Linked DNA regions of Sus scrofa. The protein of the gene in region 1 purifies or fractionates together with the protein of each later gene. This does not show direct contact. Links are inferred from orthologs where the notes say so. Each region holds a gene or a part of one and is shown on either strand. Other genes may lie near its edges.

The links. The genes of interacting proteins can lie anywhere in the genome.
Region 2: the proteins of PSMA7 (region 1) and PSMD5 fractionate together in Homo sapiens (co-fractionation; 3 studies listed by BioGRID). This does not show direct contact. The link is inferred for Sus scrofa from reciprocal best matches to the Homo sapiens genes PSMA7 and PSMD5.
Region 3: the proteins of PSMA7 (region 1) and PSMG3 purify together in Homo sapiens (affinity purification with mass spectrometry; 3 studies listed by BioGRID and IntAct, with this or other methods). This does not show direct contact. The link is inferred for Sus scrofa from reciprocal best matches to the Homo sapiens genes PSMA7 and PSMG3.

Annotation. Positions count from the first base shown.
Region 1 is NC_010459.5:61,568,628-61,573,293, forward strand, and holds the start of PSMA7 (proteasome subunit alpha type-7), read right to left. Parts: upstream 2,890-4,666; 5' UTR 2,739-2,889; coding exon 2,643-2,738; intron 934-2,642; coding exon 807-933; intron 246-806; coding exon 121-245; intron 1-120. Other genes in the region: SS18L1 (calcium-responsive transactivator), read left to right, coding at 3,246-3,314.
Region 2 is NC_010443.5:260,865,664-260,870,179, reverse strand, and holds the start of PSMD5 (26S proteasome non-ATPase regulatory subunit 5), read left to right. Parts: upstream 1-1,412; 5' UTR 1,413-1,511; coding exon 1,512-1,684; intron 1,685-4,516. Other genes in the region: protein CutA homolog, read right to left, coding at 844-1,308. UniProt on the Homo sapiens protein: Acts as a chaperone during the assembly of the 26S proteasome, specifically of the base subcomplex of the PA700/19S regulatory complex (RC).
Region 3 is NC_010445.4:1,051,613-1,056,068, reverse strand, and holds PSMG3 (proteasome assembly chaperone 3), read left to right. Parts: upstream 1-1,352; 5' UTR 1,353-1,383; exon of another isoform or gene 1,384-1,417; intron 1,418-1,990; 5' UTR 1,991-2,018; coding exon 2,019-2,234; intron 2,235-3,389; coding exon 3,390-3,542; 3' UTR 3,543-3,884; downstream 3,885-4,456. UniProt on the Homo sapiens protein: Chaperone protein which promotes assembly of the 20S proteasome. May cooperate with PSMG1-PSMG2 heterodimers to orchestrate the correct assembly of proteasomes.

The DNA of each region.
Region 1 (4,666 bases):
ACGAGGCAGGCGAGGACCACCCCGTGAGGCTGCTGCTGAACCCCCGTGACGCACCCGCAGCAGGACACTAACTGGTGACGGCCCCGTGACGGGAGCCGACCCAGGGCAGGCGGCGCCTACCTGCTTCAGGCTGGCGATGTAGCGGGTGATGTACTCCACAGTGACCGGGTCCTCCACGGTCAGCCGGTGGCTCTGGCACTCCACCCGCGCCCTGTTGATGACTATCCGTGCGTCCGCGGTGAGGCCTGCGGTGACCGGAGAGCTAGCCTGAGCCCCACCTTCCAGTCAGTGGTCCAAACCAGCACGGCATGGACGGCACAACCTCTGGCGGCTTCTAAGACCGGCTCCCGGTTCCCAGCGCGGCGCCTGAGTGACTGGCGGCGGAAGCAGCAGCCCCCACGCGCTTCTCTGAGAAAGCTGGGCGGGCGACCAGCACGCGTCCCGGGACAAAGCAAGTCAACCTCTGGATTGGGTAAACCGGGCGCTCCCTGCCGAGGAGGGAGATGAGCGAGGAGGGAGATGAGCGGAACCACAGGAGCTGACCGCACCTGACAGCAGAGCGCCGGACGGCCCCACCTTTCCCACGGCGACATGCCGCTGAAAGCACGGGGCCACCGCACAGCCCCTCACCCCGGGCGTCTGCTGAGAGCCTGTGCGTCAGCCACCGGAGAGGGACCCTCCTGCCCAAGAAGCAGGCCGCACCTGTTTCTTGGAAACGGTCTGTTCCCCGGCGTGGGCGTCCCCGGCAGCGCTTCCCCGGGTGACCCTCGTAGGAGGCAGGAGGAGAGCCCCGGCCCCAGGCTCACCCGCGAACGCCATGCAGACGTTGTCGTCCAGGGCGCAGATCTTCCGCACGGTCCGCTCGTCCTGCAGCCTGGCCACCGACTTCTTCTCCACGCCGAGGACGACGATGTCCCTTCCGCGGACGCCAACCTTCAACGGGCATCACCGTGGCACTTAAACGTGTGACGCGATCCCAGCCCAGAGCACGAAGAGCGGCTGTTGCCGCGGCCCCATGACCACTGGGGCAGGGGGCACGCACAGCCTGCAAACCGTGGGGCTGGACCCGCTTATGCACAACTACCTCAGGCGTCGCCAGCCAGGTGCCCACTCTTGGCCTTAGGCTTCAGTTTCAGTTCAACTGAAAACCACCACCGTGTGTGACCCACGTGTATGTGCCCCTTCAACCCCATGATTCGGAATTCGGCGTAAAGCCTTTAGGCCTGAGTCCTTAACACAGAAATAGCTGTCCTGAAAGCAGTGTTGCGTGGCTGTGAAGTCACACCCAAACCCTCCCCGCTCCCGCACTTCGGTAACCTGTGTGCACGGCAGTGGGCAAGTGCCTGATGTGACCAGGTGGACGTGTCAGCTACCCCCGGGAGGCCACTGGCTGTTTCTGGCTGTCGCTTCGCAGGTAGAAGGATGTCTTACGCACATGGGGAAAAAAATCACGATTGCCTGTCGACAGCCCTCAATGGGAACAGCAGCCGCTGCGCATGAAACGGTCACTGGGCAGAGCGACATCCGCCCGAGCCCAGAGCAGGGCTTCTGAGCCTCAGGACTGTGGGCACCGGGCCCGCCAATTCTTGGATGTGAGGGCGGCCCGGCTCACTGAAGGATGCTTACCGTCCGCCCGGCCTCTGCCCGGCCTCTGCCTCTAGAAGTCTCCTGGCCGTTGCCAAACGCCCCCTGGGCTGCAGAGAAGCCCTGGTCGGCTGTGTTTCCAAGTTTCAAGCAACTTTCCTACAAACTGACCTGGTCTTTAAAGCTCCCAAAGACAAGAAGGCCCTGCTCAGAGGCGCTGGTTAAAGAAAGGTAGCCTGCCGGCGGGCCCCACATGCAATGGGGGCGGGGGGAGACAGGTGCCAGGCGACTCCCCCACTAGTCTCTAAGCTGAAATAGGTCGCAAGGTGGATTTGGAGCCCCCATTGCAGAAGAGGTTCAAGAGATGAAAATACTTCCAAGATTCACAGAATCGTGTGTTTTCTCTCTGGCCAAACCTCTGACACACCAAATAATAAAATAAAAACCATCGTACAGTTTAGCCAATAAGCAAACTGCCAAGCGTACTGAAGGCACCATTGCATTTACGTTTCAAACCGCGGCCTAAACGACAGCCGCGCTCAGGTGCGAGGGGACGAGGGGGGCGGTCACACCCGGAGGGGCCTGCCAGCTGCGCCGGGCTGCCCGGGGACGGCAGGGCTGCTGCTGAGCCCGGCGGCCGCCCTTTGTCCTCGAAGCCGGCCCACTGCTTTCCCGGTCGGGGAAGCCCCCTCACTGGGAGCGGTCCGCATGCCGTTCGCGCAAATCATTTGGTGCCTTAAGGCGCGTTCCGGGTAAGGGGCTGGCCCGCCGCTCGGAGCCCCCCCCCCCCGCCCAGCCGCGGCCCCCGAACCCCCAAAATGGCGCCGCCGGCAGGCGCGCTCGGCTCCGGACACCGGAGGAGCCCCAAGGCCTGCGGTCTGCAGGCCACGGTCCGCAGCGCCCCTTCCCGAAGCAAGCCCCACGTGACGGCTGCCGTGCGCCCCCCCGCCCCTGTGCTACCCGAGCCCGAAGCACTCGGCGCCGGTCAGCGCGGCCTCCCCAGCCGCCCGGGCCCTGCCCATCCCCGGACGTGCAGGCCCCGCGGGGCCGCCGCTCACCGCAGTCGAGCCCTTCTTCACGGCCTCCTGCGCGTACTCCACTTGGAAGAGGTGGCCGTCGGGCGAAAAGACGGTGATGGCGCGGTCGTAGCTCATGCCGGCGGGGCGACGCGGCCGGACCCGGGAAAAGCGCACACTCACGGCCCGCGCAGCCCGCGATTCACGACGTCGCTGCGCCCGCGCCCGCGCCGCGCGCCCGTCCGCCCCCGGCGCCGCCGACTGCGCTGCTGGCGTAAGGCGGGCGTAAGGCGGCGTCGGGCGACGTGCGCGCGCCGGGGCGGGGCCGGGCCGAACCACCGACGGCCGGGCGCGGGGGGCGGTGCGGCGGCGGCGGCGGTGGCGGCGGCGGCGGGCCCGGCGCGGAGCGCGAGGCGGCCGCCCGGGGGCGCCGCGCGGAGCTCGGTCTCAGGCTGCGGCGGCGCGCGGAGCGGCGAGGCGGCGGGTCCGGAGGCAACGCGGCGACGGAGGGGCGGGCGAGTCCACGGCGCAGCACCCCCCGCGCCCCCCGCCCCCCAGCGACTGCGGAGAATGAGCGCCTCTGGCCGCCGAGCGCAGCCGGAGAATAAACCCCGATGATCTCGGGCTGATCCTGCGCCCGCGACCATGTCGGTGGCCTTCGCGTCCGCCCGGCCGAGAGGCAAAGGGGAGGTCACGCAGCAAACCATCCAGAAGGTGGGCTGGGGGCCGCGGTCCCGGGCTGGGGGCCACGGGGTGCGGGCGGGCGCTGGGCCGGGTCGAGGGCAGCCGGCGGGCGCGGGGCGCGAACAAAGCCGGGGCGCAGCCGACCGCCGCGACCCCGCTGGGGCCCCGCGCGCGCTCTGTGGCCAGCGTGCGCCAATGTGGGCGGGGGTGCGCGGGGGCGGTGGGTTGGGGCTCAAGGCGGCGCGTGGGGTGGTGTCCTCGGAGCCCAGCCCGGAACGACCCCGGGCCTCACCGGCCACAGTGGGGACGCGCCGTCTTCTGGGCCCGGGGCCGCGGGGCAGGAGCGCAGGGCGGCAGGACCGGGTGCCCGCAGGGTGGTGTCCAAGGGATGTTGTCTGCAGGGTGATGTCCGCAGAGCCAAGCCAGGGACGACCCCGGGCCCCGCCGGGGACAGTGGAGACCCGTCGCCTTCGGGGCCGGGGTGCGGGTGCACGGCGTCCGGACCGGGCGTCCGCAGGGTGGTGTCTGCGAGCCGCCCGGTGCGCCGAGGGGACCCTCCTGACTGGGAAAGTGGTGACGCTGCGCCGTGGGCGGCCCCCCGCCCCCGCGCGCAGTTTGGCTGGTGGAGGGCGCACGGGGCACATGGGGCGACGGGGATCCGTCCCAGCCGCCGGCCCCGCCTGCCATTTAGGTGCTGGCATTACGAGGCACAAAGAGGTGCATCCAGAGTGAGGGCGCCGGTCTTGCAGCCCCGCAGCCCTTTAAGGAGCGCTCCACGCCTCGGGGCCGGCTGGCCGGCCGCTCTTATTGGAGTGTCACGCTGCTTTTCAGCCTTGACACTTCGCCAGCCTCTTCACCTAACAAAACTTTACAGACTGGTTTTACAGCCTTGCCTGCGTGCTATAAGTTTGGCCTCGTGGTTTCCTAGACATAACCTTCACGTGGGTTTGGGGACATTTTAATACAAGTCTTAGGTTTTGAAATGGAAATTTAAAATTTTTACTGCTTCTGTTTAGAAGATAAAGCTCAGGAGAAAGTGGCTCTCGACTCTTCCCCTTTGAGTTCCTCGATGTCGGGTAGCCAGGTTGCTCTCCTTTCTAAGCTGGGTTCTCCGAAGAATCCCTGGGTTTCCGGGAACCTTTTATGTCCCTCTGGGATTCACCTTCTCCCGTGATGATGTTTCAGGGCTTCTTTTTGCTGTGACTGGTTTTGACGAATGAGGAGCCTCTGTAAACTCTAAATAAAAAGCAGTAGAAACACGAGGGAAAACGTGGGGCGTTTTCACTTGTTTAGTCCACACTTGAGTGGTGCTCGCTCAGTAGGGGCCCGATTCTCTGGGCCGGGCCCATCTTGATGCGCGTCACCGCTTGCAGTGGTCACTC
Region 2 (4,516 bases), on another chromosome or scaffold:
CTGGGGTGTTCCTGTTGTGGCTCAGCAGAAATGAACCCAGCTAGTATCCATGAGAATGCGGCTTCAATCTCTGGCCTCGTTCAGTGGGTTAAAGATCTGGCTTGCCATGTGGTGTAGGTCGCAGACCCAGCTCGGATCCTACATGGCTGTGGGGAGGCTGGCAGCTGCAGCTCCGATGTGACCCCTAGCCTGGGAACTTCCATATGGCGCACCTGTGGCCCTAAAAAAGATTTTTTTTTGTTAAATAATTCCAGGTTCGATGAGTAAGACAATTAGGAAACCAATCCAAAATGATGACAGCTGTTAAAGATACTGTTAGTGACCGCCAGAAAACAGGAAGGCGTTTATTTTTTTCCACAAGACAAGTAGGATTAGGATCTTCATAAAGCAGCAACGATTTTTATCATTTTCTCACCTGCATCGATGGCACAAAAAATGAGGGAAAATCTATCCTTAGCTTCCTCTAAACTTTCCGGATTTTTGTTTCTTTCCCCAAAAACACACGAAGGAAAGCACTTTCAAAACAGGCTCATCTCCTTGGCGTTGAAGACCTACTGAGACACAAAGCCTCCGGCTCCCCTCAGTTTCTGGAGTTGCTTGGAATACATGAGAGCCGACTGGGTATTTAACGGTTCTTCCTCCCCCACCAACTTCGAATTTCTCAGACTACAGCCACTTCCCCACTTCTCAAACCATCCCTTGTACGCTGAAAACTTCTCTGGGTTGCCCCCGCAGCTGGCCTTCGGCGTCAGAGACCGGCCCCCTTTGGTCTAATCCTACACCCAAAAGATTAACGCAAGTCTCCATCTTCTCAATGTTTACGACACGGGGAATGCACAGCACCTGGAGTAGATGGCGAAATATGCTGGCCCTGATGGCCTTCTCGTTTTGCTTCAGGATCCGTGTGGTTGCCTGACTGACGCCCAAAGGGCGCCCCACGCCGCCTTTACTCACGCCTTCCTCCAGGTTATCGAGAATTTTCATTTCGTCTTCCAGAGCCATGACCCTCCGCCTCCTCTTAAAACGTCTTTGGCCCGGGAGCAGTACGCCCATCCCTCCGCTCGGCCTAAGACGCTGCTCAAGCTGCAGCGGCCTCCACTTTAACCACTGCTGAGAGCCTGGCTTTAGAGCCGGGGGACGCCCGCAGGGCCGTTTAACCTTCGGTTGGTCCTCATTCTCCCTACTCCGCTTGCGGGGCACTTCCTCTGCCTTCCCTCTCGGTGGGAAAGAAGCAAACAGACCGCAGCATCGGACTGTGGAACTAACAGAGCCGTAGCCAAGATGACACCCCGCGCGACCCCGTAACATCAGCGACCCCAATGGGTCCTGGTCTCGCGAGGCTTAGCAGCCCCTGAGCGCGCGCGGCCGCCAACTCTGAAATGCTATTGGCTCGCCCTGGCTGGTCCCAGTCCTGCCAAAACTCAGGGAACAGAGGCTGCGCCAGGCGGATCTCGCGAGGTTCGGGAAAATGCGCCGGGAAGAGGGCCGGCACATAGGCGGGAGGGGGCAAGATGGCGGCCCAGGTGCTGGCGCTCCTGAGGGAGGTGTCGCGGCTGGAGGCGCCGCTGGAGGAGCTGCGCGCTCTGCAATCGGTGCTGCAGTCGGTGCCACTCAGCGAGCTCCGTGAGCATGCTGCGGAACTGCACCTCGGTCCGCTTTTCTCCCTGCTCAACGAGAACCATCGGTGAGAGGATCCTTCTACTTGAGAAGGGGAGAGTGACACCCCCAGTTATGGAGACAGGGATGGCGTGGTAGCGGGGGAGGCTTTTCCCAGTCTCAGAGAAGGTTGAATTTAGCTGAAATTTCAGAGAGGGGAGGATTCTGGGCTGAAAAGCGAAAGACAGTGTTCAAGTCCAGGCTCTGAGGTGTGCCCCTGGCAGTCGCTTGCCAGGGAGGACTCCACAATCCTATATCGAAGTCCTTGACTTTTCTCCTCCTCTTAAGAAGGGGTACTATCCTGGCAATTTGACCGGATCCATCAATATTTTAAACTCATACCTTTTGATCCAGTAATTCCTGTTATAGAAATTTAACGTAGAGGTATGCTCGCACACAAAATGTACTTTCATGATAGAAGGTGACAGCAAAACAAAAAAAAAAACCTAGGAACAACCTGAATATCCAATAAAAGGGGATTCTTAAATTGATGATACGTGACTATGTAATGCTATGAAGCTATTAGAAAAACTGAGGCAGATCCAGTATGTGGACATGGAAAGATCTCTAATATATGTTGCTGAATAAAAAGAAGAAAATTGAAGCCTTTATGATCTCATTATGTGTAATTTTAGAAAAGGATTACAGGAGTTTCCTGGTGGCTCAGCAGGTTAGGGATTCCACATTGTCACTGCATTGGCTCTAGTTACTCCTGTGGCACAGGTTTGATTCCTGGTCTGGTAACTTCTGAATGCCGGAAGGTGCAGCCAAAAAGGGGGGGTGGGGGCGGTTACAACCCTCCTACACCCTTGTGAACACAGGCCAGTGTAACATTAAGAGTATCTGAAACTATTAACATACAAGTGCAACTTTGAATGGTAGGTTGGCAACTATTTTCATTTTATGTACATCTGTAGTGTTTGATTTTAAACACTTTGTATTTGATCATCTGATAACTTAAAAGACTTTTGAAATGTTTGTGATCCAGAAATTGTAAAAGAGCTTTTCTTCTGGAAGAGAATGAAGCACTGGATCAACACTGGGTGATTTCAGAGGGTTTTCTTGGCTCTGACCTTCTAAAAGTCCTCCCTTTTCATATGTGTTCTCCCTCTGTTAATTTCTCTTAGTTAACATTCAAGTCTGCCTGTGCAATGTCTCTGTCCATTTTAATTCAGGCCCTCATTTTCTCCCTTTTGTTAGGTCTGTTGCATTAGTCTGACTTCTCATTCATTACCTCTGAGCTTCCTTTTCTAGTGTGTCCTTCCCACATTGCAACCACAGTGAACTGCCCAGGTCGTTTGGCTCACATCTTTTCCATGGTTTCCCATTGACTCCAGTGTAAAATCATGACTTGTTAGTCTGGCATTTGGACCTTACAATATGTTTCCACCCTACTTTTCCAGCCTCATCCTTTTTCTCCACTCTACACATTTCATCTGCTCCAGCTACCGCGTGGCAATACTTACTTTCCCTTGAGCATGACTTGGCACTTTCCTAACTTTGTTCACACCAGTCCTTCTAACTGAAATGCCTCACCCTCTCTCCAAATCTGTCCATCCTTTAAGGCCCAGGTGAATTACCACCTCATCCAAAAAGGCTTTCTCAGTCACTACAGTTGGCAAGGGACTGGCCACGGATCTCCAGATCTGTTAACTTCTATTAATGATATTTGACAGTATCGCTTTATGTTATAATTCCATATGTGTTTGTTTCTAATCTGTAAATTCTTTGAAGGCAAAGAATATTTTGTTCATCTCTGCATGCTTCCTAAGGTGTAGCACATAATACAATATATGGCAAATGAGACATTAAACTCATGAATTTTAGAGAGCCCACCTAGTCCAATCACTTTATATTAAAGATGAAGAGAGTTTCAGTGACCACAACATAAGTTAATACCAGAGTTGCAATAGGAACAGAAATTTAGGGGAGTTTGAAGACAAAGTTTCATGGGATAGGTGGTTTATTGAATGGAGGAGCAGTGCTCTAGGAAACAATTTTAATGGAAATTTAAAGATAAAGTTATTCAGAACTCAGCACGTCATAGCTACTAATTACGATTTGTGGGAACATTCATTCTCTGGATAGTGGATTGGCAATATACATTTTCCTGATTAAATCACACAGGTTTATATGTTGGTTTGGGGTTTGGTTTTGTTTTTTGGGTTTTTTTTGTTTGTTTGGTATATGGAGTTCCTGGGCTAGGCCAGGCCAGGGATCAGATCCAAGCTTTAGTTGCAACATAAGCCACAGCTGTGGCAACACGGATCCTTAACCCACTGTGCTGGGCCAAGGATCAAACGTGCATCCCAGTACTCCCAAGATGCCACCAGTCCCGTTGTGCCACAGCGGGAACTCTGGATCTTTGCTGATAGTTATAAATCTAGACTTGACTGGAATTTTTGTGAGGGAAAGTAAGTCCTAAGATTACTTCCTTAAACATAAAAGGCTAACAAGACTGTATGTTATTAATTCTTTGGTTTCTTGATTTCAGAGGGCCACATGTGACCCTGTATCTGTGCATTGTACAGTTTAACCTACTATTGCTTTAAAGAGAAAAAAATTATTGGGAGTTCCTGTTGTGGTGCAGCAGAAATGAATCCGACTAGTATCCATGAGGATGCAGGTTCGATCCCTAGCCTTGCCCAGTGGGTTGGGGATCTGTTGTTGCCCTGAGCTGTGGTGTAGGTGGCAGATGGGACTCAGATCCCTTATTGCCGTGGCTGTGGTGTAGGCCAGCAGCTGTAGCTCCAATTAGACCCCTAACCTGGGACCTTCCATATGCTTTGGCCCTAAAAAGCAAAAAAACCCAAACAAACAAAAAAACACTTTATTGATACATAATTTACCAAAATAAACT
Region 3 (4,456 bases), on another chromosome or scaffold:
CAAGAATCCCACCAGGTTTCCTTGGCTAGAAGCCCCAAACCCCCAGCCCCCCACCCAGAGGTTTCCGCGTAGTAGTTTCCCACCCCCTGACCCCACGCCGTTCCTCGGCTGTAAATTCCCACCGGCTCCTGTGGTTTTGAACACGCGCGACCGATCAGTGAAGAAAGGATGTTGCAGCCATCAAGCTGTCACATTACAGCCACCACGACGGTGCACCCAGAGGACGAAGGCCGTGAACGCTGAAATCACTTGGGGTTGATGGGAATGAGCCCAGACTTTGCATCACCCGCCCCCCCCCCCCCCACTCACGGAGAAGCACTAAATTCCTTTTTTCTTTTTTTTTTTTTTTTTCTCTTTTTGCCATTTCTTGGGCCACTCCCGCGGCATATGGAGGTTCCCAGGCTAGGGGTCTAATCGGAGCTGTAGCCACCGGCCTACGCCAGAGCCACAGCCCCACGGGATCCAAGCCACATCTGCAACCTACACCACAGCTCAGGGCAACGCCGGATCCTTAACCCACGGAGCGAGGCCAGGGACCGAACCCGCAACCTCACGGTTCCCAGTCGGGCTCGTTAACCACTGCGCCAGGACGGGAACTCCAAGCACTAAACGCCTGGAGAGGTCTGGTTCCTTAACGGACAGCGACCTCCCCACGCGCCAGCTACCTGGTCTTTGCGCGGAACCGCCCGGAGGTGCCGGCTCCTGCCTCACCTCTACGGAGCGGGCTCCCAGTTAGATGCTGGGCCCCAGGCTCGGGTCCTCAGCTTGGTGTGCCACACGAAACGTAAGGCTCAGCTTTCGGGGTGCGCCTTTCTTTTCCGCCCACCCGTGTGCGGGGTGAGCCCGGCTCCACACCGGGGTCTCCTGCGCGCTCTGTGAAGCGCCCTGGGCGGAACCCGCTTTCAGCGCCTTAACTGCGGTCCAGCCCTGGTTTTCTCTCGGCTCCCTGTGCTTGCAGCAGCGCCCTGGAACCCACGGCCAAGGGGCCAGGGACCCCACTGCGGCTCCCCGGTGACAGAGGAGCAGGGCCGCCGTCAGGAGCGCCCGAGGTCGCCCCTGGGGAGAAGCCGGAGGCCGCTCTACTGCGGGGCCGAGGGGCCGAGGGGCCGAAGGGCGAGACCGCCCTTGGGAAGAAGCTGGAGGCTGCGCTCCCGAGCTTGGGGCCGCAGCCCCTCGCGCGACTCGGTGCCCAGCCCGTCGCTGCTGGCGGGCGGGCAGCCCAGCGCCTCAGAGCCCAGCGGCCCCGGCGCGACCGGAAGCCCTGCGGGCTGCACTTCCGGCGGGGGCCGCAGAGCCCGCGGGCGCGTCTGGCGCTCGGGAGCGGGGCGGGGCCTTAGGGGGCGGGGCCGCGCCGCCACCGGCGTCATTTCCGGGCGCGGCCTGGTGAGCGCGGGCGGCATGGCGGGCGGCAGGGAGGGTAGGGGGCCGCGGAGGCTGGAGCGGGAAGGCGAGGGCGGGCGCCCCCACGGTTGGCGCCCCAGCCACGGTCGCCATCTGCCTCCTGGCTCGGTGACGTGCTGCTTCTCCTGTGGGGCCGGTGGTTTTCCCAAGTGCAGAAAACGGAACCTCAATGGGCGCACTGGAGGGACGGCAGGAGCGTGGCCACCTGCTCTGGCCTGGCTTTTGCACCTGCACCTGCGGCGCTTTCAGCCCTTCACCCCCCCGGCAGTGGCACCACCGAGGGCCCCAGGACTCAGAGCCTCGGGATGGGGTGGGGTCACAGTGATGCTTAACAGCAGGGGCCCCAAGCGCGTGGAAGAGGAAAGAAAAGCATATTTTGACATCCTGCCTCCTTTGCCTGGCTAGTTTATGTATACAAGTGTGTCTACTCAATGAATCTAGAAAGTTTTGGGCAAATGAGGCCTGTAAGGGTTAACAGATACAGGCTTTTGAATGAGCCCACTTGTATTTCTGTTTTAATGCCAAATGGTACTTACTCTGGAGCCCCAAGGCCATCTGATGCTGATTTACTCTCTTTATTCTTAACAAGCTGAAGGGGCCATTGAACAGACCCAACCATGGAAGGCAAACCATTGGTGATGTCGAAACAGACGACTGCGGTAGTGTGTGGCGTCCCTACCCAGGTGGTATGCACAGCCTTCAGCAGTCACATCCTGGTGGTGGTGACCCAGTTCGGGAAAATGGGTACCCTGGTCTCCCTGGAATCCAGCAGCATGACCAGTGACATCAGCAAGCCTGTGCTCACCACCAAAGTTCTTCTCGGGCAGGACGAGGTAAAGGGATGGGGGCGGGAGCCCGGTGGCTACAATTTGTTAATACACACGGGGAGCATCTCTGGGCAGACGCCCCCACGCCCACCGCCACCAGCCCTCGACAGCATTTTCCGGGGCCTCTCTGCGTCTGAGGGCATCCACCTGCCCTTGGTGGCTGCTGCTTCCAGCCCATCAGCATTTTATCCTGCAGACAGGCGGAGGTATTGATTTTGCGATGTAGGCCTCCCCTCAGTTTGACCCTGTCATGATACATTATGGTAATGACTGGTTGTGCATGCTTCGTTCTGGAAAGACCATCTGTGAGCCTTGACAGGTTGCCTCTGCAGACTTTCAGGGGTCCTTCCAGAGCAGAAATCGCCGGAAGAGACAGGAACCAGAAGCACGAAAGGGACAAGTTTAATGATGCTCCTTAGCAGTGCGTTTATGACTGGAGTGCCCTGAGTCTCTTTGAACCTGAGTTACTGTCACACTGAACTTACCAGGTGGTGACTGAATGGTTGGAAGCCAGGCCGGGTTTCTCGGGGGGACTAGGAAGGCATTAAGAAGAAAAGAGGTTGGACCTAGAAATTATCACGCCAAGTGAAGTCAGGCAGATGGTGAGATGCCAACCTCAAATGCTGTCACTTACATGTGGGATCTAAAAAAAAGGACACAATGGGGCGTTCCCGTTGTGACGCAGCGGAAACAAATCTGACTAGGAACCATGAGGTTGCGGGTTCGATCCCTGGCCTCGCTCAGTGGGTTGAGGATCCGGCGTTGCCGTGAGCTGTGGTGTAGGTCGCAGACGCGGCTCGGATCTGGCATTGCTGTGGCTGTGGTGCAGGCTGGTGGCTACAGCTCCAATTAGACCCCTAGCCTGGGAACCTCCATGTGCCACAGGTGCGGCCCTACAGAGACAAAAAAAAAAAAAAGGACACAGTGAACTTCTTTGCAGAACAGATACTGACTCACAGACTGAAAAGCTTATGGTTTCCAAATGAGACAGGTCGGGGGCGGGCAGGGGCTTGGGATGGAAATGCTCAAAATCGGGCTGTGAGGCTCATCGCACAACTGTAAATGTAATAAAACCCATTGAGGAATTTAAAATAAAACTAATTTAGAAGAAGACAAGCGATTTCTTGCAGTTAAAATGCCTTCTCTCTCTGCCCTCACCAGCCTCTCATCCATGTCTTTGCAAAGAACCTGGTGGCCTTTGTGTCTCAGGAAGCTGGAAACAGAGCAGTCCTCCTCGCCTTGGCCGTGAAGGACAAGAGCATGGAGGGAGTGACGGCCCTGAAGGAGGTGATCCGGACGTGCCAGGTGTGGTGACCCTGGGGCAGCCACTCCTGCTGCCCGTCAGGACCAAGCGGAAACTCAGACACCGTCTCGAGGCTCTGGAGACCCTTCAGCCAGAAGGAGGAGCGTTCTCAGGCTTTAGCCCTCGAAACCGGAAGAACCGTGCACATCTGAGGCCGACTGGTTTGGAGGCTGACACCCCCGGCGGAGGGAGGCGAGCCGAAGGTGTCCTAGGAGAGCTGTGAGCGGTTCTCTCCGGCTCCCGAGAGTGGCACGTAGTTGAGAGTTGACGGAATGAGTCATGGCCCCCGATGTGCAGGTCATTTGTTGGGGGAGATGTTTGTCTTATTAAAAATAAATGCACATTCCAGAGTACCTCACCGTCTTTCGCGACGGTGCTGAGACATTTCCGTCGCGCGGCGTAAATCCGCTGCGGTGGTCTCGGCCTGAAGCCCACAGCCTCATCCTGCTCCTCTGCCTGTGGCCTCTCTGAGCGTCCCGGTCCCCGGACTGCTGGTTGGTACCCTGGCCTCCGGAGCCACATCCTTGAAAGCTGGGGCCAGACACATATACCCCAGGAGGAGGGGGTCAGGCAGGGAGGAGGGCAGGGGGGGCAGGCTAGGCGGCGCCTCACTTCCAGAGAGGCCGGGACATGGGAGAAGCTGGGACCGGGACATGGGAAGCTGCCCGGCTGGGAGGCCCAAGGGCTGGGAGGGCCTGTGTGTGCTGAGGCCTCAGACGGGACGCTGAGCCCAGCGAGGGGGCTGAAGGGCTTCAGGGCTCGCGGGGTCTGCCCCTTGGAGATGTTCCTGGGGCTTGACCTCAGGGTGACGTGTCCACGTGGAAGGCAGCCTGTGGCCACCCACGCCTGTGACAAAGGGCAGCCGGGGACCCATCTGGGCTCCTTCATCCCTCCACATTCAGCGACCAGGGTCGTTTCTGTTTGA